Drosophila melanogaster: one gene and its partner. The gene in region 1 interacts genetically with each later gene. Each region holds a gene or a part of one and is shown in the gene's direction. Other genes may lie near its edges.

Region 1 (3,931 bases):
CCATTTCGATGGTCTGACCACGGGAAAATAAACAAAAAAAACAAACCGAGAAATGCACAGAAAAAATATACATACAGAAAAACATTAAGTGGACAGAAAAAACGGCGAGCGGCGACAACAATAACGAAAGTGAAATTCTACAAAGATCGTGATGGCGGAGCGGCGTCCACGCTTGGGCAGCCACCAGTGCCATGCCAGCCTGGTCAGGCGTTTACCCCCGACATTGTAGTGCCGACCAGGCCACGTCAGGCCCAGCCAAGAAAGCCAAACAATAACAAACCGCTGTGGCCGCCGGATTTTCCAGCCGCTTTGTGTCTCATGTGCGCGCAGTGAAATTTGGGTCAAGGAAATGCCAATCGACAGGTTGCACCTCCTCCTGGCCGCCAGTGGATGCATGGTCACCGTGGCCACATGGCCAGTTGGACAAATAGTTAGATGACCGTTATTAGCCACTAACTTTTGCCGGTGTTTTGCAGGCCACAAATTGCCTGGCTCGCAGGGGGAATAACCTCAGTTGACCCACTGCGTGCCAATGCAATTTTCATGGATCTCATTTCGTACTTTCAATGCTCACAACTAGGAGTTCAGCATTGTCTGTTTATGGTTATGTATCAATGGCTTAACTTAAGTACTATATAATAGCGATAGAGTCCATGATAATATCTTCGATAATATGCACTTCACTAATTTATTAACGGCTTCGCAGCAACTTTATAACATTACATCAATTTTATTTATGTAACTAAAGATACAACTTCTTGAGCTTGTTAAAGGCTTACTGTTCTATTTTTTTTAAACACAGCATGTATACTTTAAAATGTCAATTTAGGAATGGCTAATCTAGAATGTATTATGTTTTAATTAATTGCAAATTTCGGACATGCCAATGTTAGATTTATTAAATAATATTATTATTATTGCATTATTATAAATAATGTCCTTTAAGAAGTAATCTTTGAAAATCATTAAAAAGCTTGAATTAACTTGAATTTACATTAAAATGCTTAATTTAGTTTAAATCAATTTATTAAAATCCATTCATTAGATAAGCAATGGCTTTGATCTTTGGTCACAAGGATCGCTGCAGACGAAAGCTGCAGCGTTTTTCTAGGGTCAACATCAGCATCAACATCAGCGCCAGCATTAGCGACAGCATCAGCGGCAGCATCAGCGGCAATCGCATCTTGCTGCGGCAACATCGAGCGACACTGTTAAGTCGGTCGGCGCAGCGCTCTTAACCGCAAGGCCGTGCTGTAAACCGATTCAGTTGGGTTTGAGGCGCGCACGCGTACGGACGCCGAGAGAAAGAGCAGCGACTGGGCGAAAGAAAGCAGGCGGAGAAAACAGGAATCGCTGATCGGTGGCAAAGGCAGCAATAGCAGCAGCAGCAGAAGCGGCTGAAGAAGAAGCCGAGCAGACGCCGAATTAGAAATGTTTACCATTTAAGCGACGCCTAATGGAAATACTCTCACGTACCGCACCGCTCTCGGCTCTCTTGAAAACGCGCTCTCCCGCGTTAAAGTGAAAGTTTTCCCCACAAAAGTGGCGAAGGTCCGTTATCTTGGCCGCTGTTCGGGCCAACTCGCAATCAGTCAGTCAGACACACGCGGAGCGTTCAGTCGACCGGACGCATGGTCGCTGATACAAGATACAAGATACACGATATAGATACCCGATACCCAGATACTATATATGTGGTGCAGTGTGTTAGTGTTTTGGTGCGAGCAACTGTAAATTCGCAGCTGACCAAAGAAAGTGCGGTCGTCGCAATAAAACCGAATTAAATTCAATCGAAATCGGAATCGGATCCACACAGTTACAACTCAATTCGCGTTCGTCGCCTAAGTCTTTCGTTCAGCGCGCTTCGCTGCCACGCTGTTTTCGCACTCACGCCCGATTTTCGGTGGCAATTTCGAAACAAGCAGGGCGCATATCACTATCACAACGAGCTGCCAGACGGTCTAGGCCAAGAACTCCCCGCAGGTGTCCGGCAGTCCAGCAGCAAACATGTTTAAGTGGGTTACGCCGGCCTCAACGGCGACGTTGTCCCGCTGCACACTGCCAGCAACAACAGCAGCCACAACAACAACAACGGCGATGGCAGCAACGAGAACAGCAACGACAACGACGAGAACAACAAGACCACAACTACTTTCCATCGCTTTAACAAGTTTAATAATAATAGTCGCATCATTTGTGCCGACAACAAGTGGATTTAGATCAATTGAAACGAATGGCGGTAAGTGACAGACCATTTAGCTCATTGACTTGCCTGCGCAATGATCCATCGATCCGATGAAAGGCCGCGTTGAGAAGAAAGTTTAGCACACAATAAAATGTAGAATTAAGGCAAAGAAAATCAATTTGCCAAATTGCAAGCTCATGTCGCTGCAAATCGAATCGTGTCAGTGGCTTTTGCTGCCTCACTTTGGTTCACTTTGGCTCACTTAGCCATCGCATCCCATCCCCACCAACGGGGGCTTTCACTCAATGCCTCGGCCTGGCCAAGTTGACAATGCTCGTGGCAAAAAAAGCACAAAACTATGCCTTTGTGTCAATAAATGAATCAGAAAAACTTTGGCACAGAAAACTGCGGCTGTAGATGGTGCTCTTCGAGTGACTTTCCACACTCCACGCACTTGGCAATTATTTGGTTCGTTTTATGCTACATTACGGCCACAAAAGACCTCGGAGATGTTAGGCACAGCCGTCGACTTTCCTTGTGACAGTTTTTACTGTCTTTCGAGTGTTTAGTGCTGCCTCTCAGCATCCCATTGCCGTTAATTGTCGAGGTCATTTGGCTGATTTAAAAAGTGAAACAAATTTCTAGAGTACCTGGTTATTAGTTCGATTCGGATTCGGATTCGACAACAGCCTGAGCCCATTCAATTCAGATTGAGCCCAAGTGCCGGCTAACAAAAGAGTCGAGGTGCAAACTCAATAAAAAGCCAAACACAATCACAATCAAAGGGGGGAAACAAACCATTCGTGATAATCGTCAGTCGGCAGTACCTCTATGTAGCACGAAAAAAAGGAACAAAACTCTTTTATATGTGAAATTTCACACACCATTTTCATTTCTTTAAGATCGTTAAAATGGTGAAAACACTCATAAGTACGTTGTTAAGATATTATGGCTGTAGGGAAAACATTATAAAGCTGAAAGCATATATACCCCTGTTTAATCAATACTTTCCTCAAGTTCAAAGCCCTTACAAAGTGAATCTTTGTTTATACAGCTTACGCTGCAAAATTTGCAGACAATCTTTACAAGTCCTTTGATACGTTGATACCCTTTTACAAACACCTCTTTAAAAAAAAAAAACTGTCTAGCCTTCGAAGTTTATTGTACCCTTCAAATTAAAAGCGAAAATGAATATTTGCATTTTGATTCAAATAGAAACCGATTACATTACAGAAATGTGTAAGACACTTTAGGCATTTAAAAATGTATACAAAGTTTGGGTACCAAGCATATTTACTTTTCTAATCGTCAGTCGACCGAAGTTAGGTCCCACAACAATAATGGCTTCTTGGGATGCAGTGTCTTTTCTTCGAGGCGTTTTCCCAACGATTCTCTTTGTTCCCCTGCCCGACTCTTCCGACTTAGCTTACCCCATCTGAAAGGTTTGGGAAAACCTAGGGAAACCCATGAGGAGAAAATCAATACTTCCGCTGGTCAGCCAGCAATCGCAGAACTGTGCTGCGTCAGCGAGGTGGAAGTCGGCAAATGCCAATCATCGGCCACATACACACCTGATCATTAGTACGAAACACGTAAAACAATTTTCAATTTCTATTCAGGCGCGTTGTTTGCATAGAAAGAAAACCAGGAAAGCAGTTCAGGAAAAACGCGTGCGAAATGAAAATGTCTTGGCCAGTGGCCGTAGTAGTTGAGTGCAGCCCAGCAACCAAACCAAACCAAACCGCA
Region 2 (3,931 bases), on another chromosome or scaffold:
GGCCATGAAACCTTCCCTTCCAAGTAGGCGACAAAGTTCAAGACAATCCCAAGATAAATTTTTATTAACTTCCATGAGTCACGCATGGAAAGAAAACAAAAATATTTGATATGAAAAAAAATTGCCCAGCATGCATATGAAATACTTTTGCGAAATAAAAAACGCAAGTTAATTCCAGCGAAGAAAAATCAGACATCACAAATACAGACTATGACTGTGGTCCCAAAAGGGGGAAGAAGATGTGCCGGCAGATGAAAAACAAATCATGAGGCATGAACATGACCAACAATCCAGACGGATACAGCGGAGGCGGCGGGGAAAGTACCCATATCAACCAAGTCCGTAGTGACGCAGTTGCATTTTGGTCAACACGATGATGAGGCAGGCGGCTCTTGTTTATGCTAATGCCAGTGCCAACCAACAGAGATACTAACTTCCATATGGGATTGGTAGTACCAAGTGGCGACCTGTCAAATACCCTGTTAGTCGTCCAATAGTTTGTCATATTCACCACGATCGAACTAACAACTTTCATATATAAATGTTTTGTACAAATAACTTATAATTAGAAATTAATATATTGAAACGATAAAGGGTCTTAAAATATAATACTTCCAATTTGACAGGGTATTGAATCAACAAATAAAATCACAGCAACTGCTGTTGTTGTAAAAAAGTCGTGAGCAAAAACACAAAAATCCACACAAAACTTTGCAACCTGTGAGCGCTGCTCGGAGCTTTCATTTTCGAAGCGATACCGTTAACTGCACAGGCACTGCTAAAACAACAACAACAATATTAGCAGCAGTGGCTGTGACAGCAATAACAACAGTCAGGCTAAAGAACAACAATGGCAAGTGCCAAGTGCAGACGCTGCTGAATAGCATATATATTATATATGAAATAAAAAATATATTTTTTGGTTAAGAAATATATTAAATTCTACAAATGTATTTTGAATAGAAATTAATAAACAAGTGTGGTAATAAAAATTGAACATTTCTTGGGCAAAATATACGTTGGCAACATGTTGCTGGCCCGGCAAACTGTAAATTGCTGGCAACATGTTTATAAGGCGGAATAACAGGAAAAAATGTTTAAATTTTTACTAAGTAGGTCAAGTTGCATGGCAGCTTCAAACAGGTATGAGCATGAAGCGCAAATGAAATTTAAGAAAAAAAATGTTAAGATACGTTAAAAAGTGTTAAGATACGATTCAGATTACAATAGAATAAAACTATGAAATAGGTTCCACTTAAAAATTAATTATTTGCGAAAGTTTCCGAAATTAATCGATGTGACTGAAATAAAACAACTTTTAAACACTAAAATCTAATATTTCATACACTGGGCTAAATATATTTACAACTGTAAGACATTACAAGTAACATGGCAATTGATATTATTTCAAAAATCCCAAAAATCTGCCGCTTTTGCCGAGATTTAAGAAACATAAACAAACTTAGCCCTGACTTTGAACTCACGTTGGAGCCGAGGTCTGCGCTTCGAACATGTTGCGATGCTCTCCGGCGCTCCGCTCCGACTCGGACCCGAACGTGATTTGTATCTTTGTATCTGCGCCAGCGTCGACGTCGCCGTCGCCGTTGGCTCGGAAATTTCTTTTCGTGTTGCGCCTGCGCACAGTTGGCTTTCTACCGTTGACGTCTGCGGATTTGTGCGCACCCAGTGTCTGCGTTCTTTCGCGGTTCGGTTCGATTTGATTGTGGACGTGGACTTCTTCCACCTCTTCGCAGACATCCACACAGATAGAGATACAGATACAGCTACAGATACAGTGGCGAACATGTGAAGTGGCAATAATCGAAAGAGCAAGCAACAGAAATTAGAACAAACGCACAGCGAAAATACAAAAGAAATAAGAATCGCAAAAGAAGTGAACAAAAACGTAAAATTTTAATTGAGCTAAAATGCGGCTAATAAATTGTGAAAATGGTTGACAAAGAGTTAAAGAAATTGTCAAATACATTACAAATCCAACTACGAAAATCCCCAACAAAGTGCTAAAAGTGAACAAAAACAGTGCAATAAAAAGGAAATACGCTAAAGAAAAAGTTAAAAATCAAAACAAAACATACGAAATACACATGCAAAATACTTCTAAAAACGCTGTTGTAAATATTTTAACCCGGAAATCGTTGAATTGGTTCATTGTACATACTGCAAAAAGTCAGATACCAAGAAAACCAAGAATATTGGAAAGCAATCTAAATTAAACCACTATCCACTACGGAACTATCATCCCAGATTGCAGTGCTGCAATTCATATCTATATCCCACACATAATAAACAATCTACTCGTACTACTACCCGTTCATTATTTTTTGCATAGTTTTTATGTCTTCCTCCCATTGTTTTTGTGAGTATACAAAAATATTATTTTTATTTTTTACCCTCCTCATTTAAACTTTCGGTGTTGGACTTTTATTATTTATCCACTTTTGGTGTTTTATATTTTGCTCACTTCCTCTATCTTAAATGCTTTGAATTCAATCTGCAAAAAAAATCATCAAAAACTAATATATATAAATGATAACCTAATAAGGATTTTTAAATTACAACTCCCAAGGATTATTATATAATTGAAAACGGATTACCGCAAAACAAAACTTAAACAGAAAGCTCCAGAAACATCTGACACAGAACGTTGATAAATTTTTGAGTATATTTTTCAAAATGTCTATTAGCTGAAGCTGCAATTTCGTAACAGTAAGTAAACAAAGAATGTTCTACCCCAATATACCAAAGCCAGTGCAAAACCAAACAAATCGAAATTCCTCAAGTCAACGGCCCCGCAAATAAGAAGAATATTCTCAATTCTGGCTTATAAACAAATCAGGCAAAAGTCATTGACCGAAATCGTTTCCGATATGTTCGTATATTACTCACCTGTTATGAAATACAAATAGACGGCCTTTAGACAGGCAGGTGGAACGTGAGGGGGGTGGGGGATTGGATTTGGTATCCGTAGGGCTCCACTTATGACAATTGTGAAATTCACATCCCACTAATGGGCAGTGACAAGGCATCCCGGGATGGATACAATGCTAATTAGAAGTGGGAACGGATTTTGGCGCTGAGTTCTTTTTTTTTTTTTGAGGTGAAGAAACTATTGCAGAAAAATGTTCTCGTTAGCCTAACTAGCTAGCTAATATACTAAATTCTTGGCTAGAAGCAGCCTTAGTAATTAAATTCAATGTTGTAAATGTGCTAAATTTGAGTTTTTATAGGTCTGGATTGTTCCATGCCATTTAGGTGAATAACCACAATGTGATCTCATTATAAAGATATGTTTAAGATTTATTTATTCTTTTCGTAAACAATGAAATTTTATGCTAAAGGTAACTTTAGGAAACTAAAAGAACTTCTGCATGTTTGAATATTTTCTATTATTAGAAAACATAAAGAAATTATATTATTATATTCCCAATCTTCAAAAATTCCTCAAACAAACATCTTTAGTTGATCGGATTTTACACTTAATTCAATCTTCCCACGTGACGTATGCGCAATGTGCAGCCAAAAATTCACAAGCTGGAAAATATAATGATTCCAAAACAATTAAACGTCTTTAGGCGACCTCAAAACGAACTTCAACTTGCCCGCTGCAGTCGGAAGTAAGAAGTAGTGCTCCTCTTCTTCTCTCTTCGTTTTACAGCTAGCACTTAAGCGTTTTTTTATATTTTTCGGTAAAAGGGAAGGGGAAGTTTTGGTGGGTCGCGAAGGGGAAAGGGTGGCTACTGTTGCCAAGCCGTTGGACGGGCTAAAAATAAACCATAAAACCGTTTGTTTGTCTGACAAAAATGGTCTAAAATACAACAACAATCGGCTGGTAAGAACGGAATGGCAATGCCAGCCAAAAAAAAAAATTAAAAAACTCCAGCAACAATGGCAACAACAACAGTAGCGGCTG

Evidence for each region.
Region 2: of flz (region 1) and ich, changing one suppresses a phenotype caused by changing the other (phenotypic suppression), as found in Drosophila melanogaster (one study listed by BioGRID).

The regions. Positions count from the first base shown.
Region 1 is NT_033778.4:8,983,235-8,987,165, reverse strand, and holds the start of flz (filzig), read left to right. Parts: upstream 1-1,590; 5' UTR 1,591-2,007; coding exon 2,008-2,239; intron 2,240-3,931. UniProt on the Drosophila melanogaster protein: Probable endopeptidase. In tracheal terminal cells, acts downstream of ich to regulate seamless tube growth and/or maintenance probably by processing lumenal matrix proteins.
Region 2 is NT_033777.3:8,960,745-8,964,675, reverse strand, and holds the start of ich (ichor), read left to right. Parts: upstream 1-1,638; 5' UTR 1,639-2,377; intron 2,378-2,587; exon of another isoform or gene 2,588-2,727; intron 2,728-3,931. UniProt on the Drosophila melanogaster protein: Transcriptional activator. In tracheal terminal cells, regulates the transcription of factors involved in the formation of a mature apical extracellular matrix (aECM) which is essential for the integrity and shape of seamless tubes.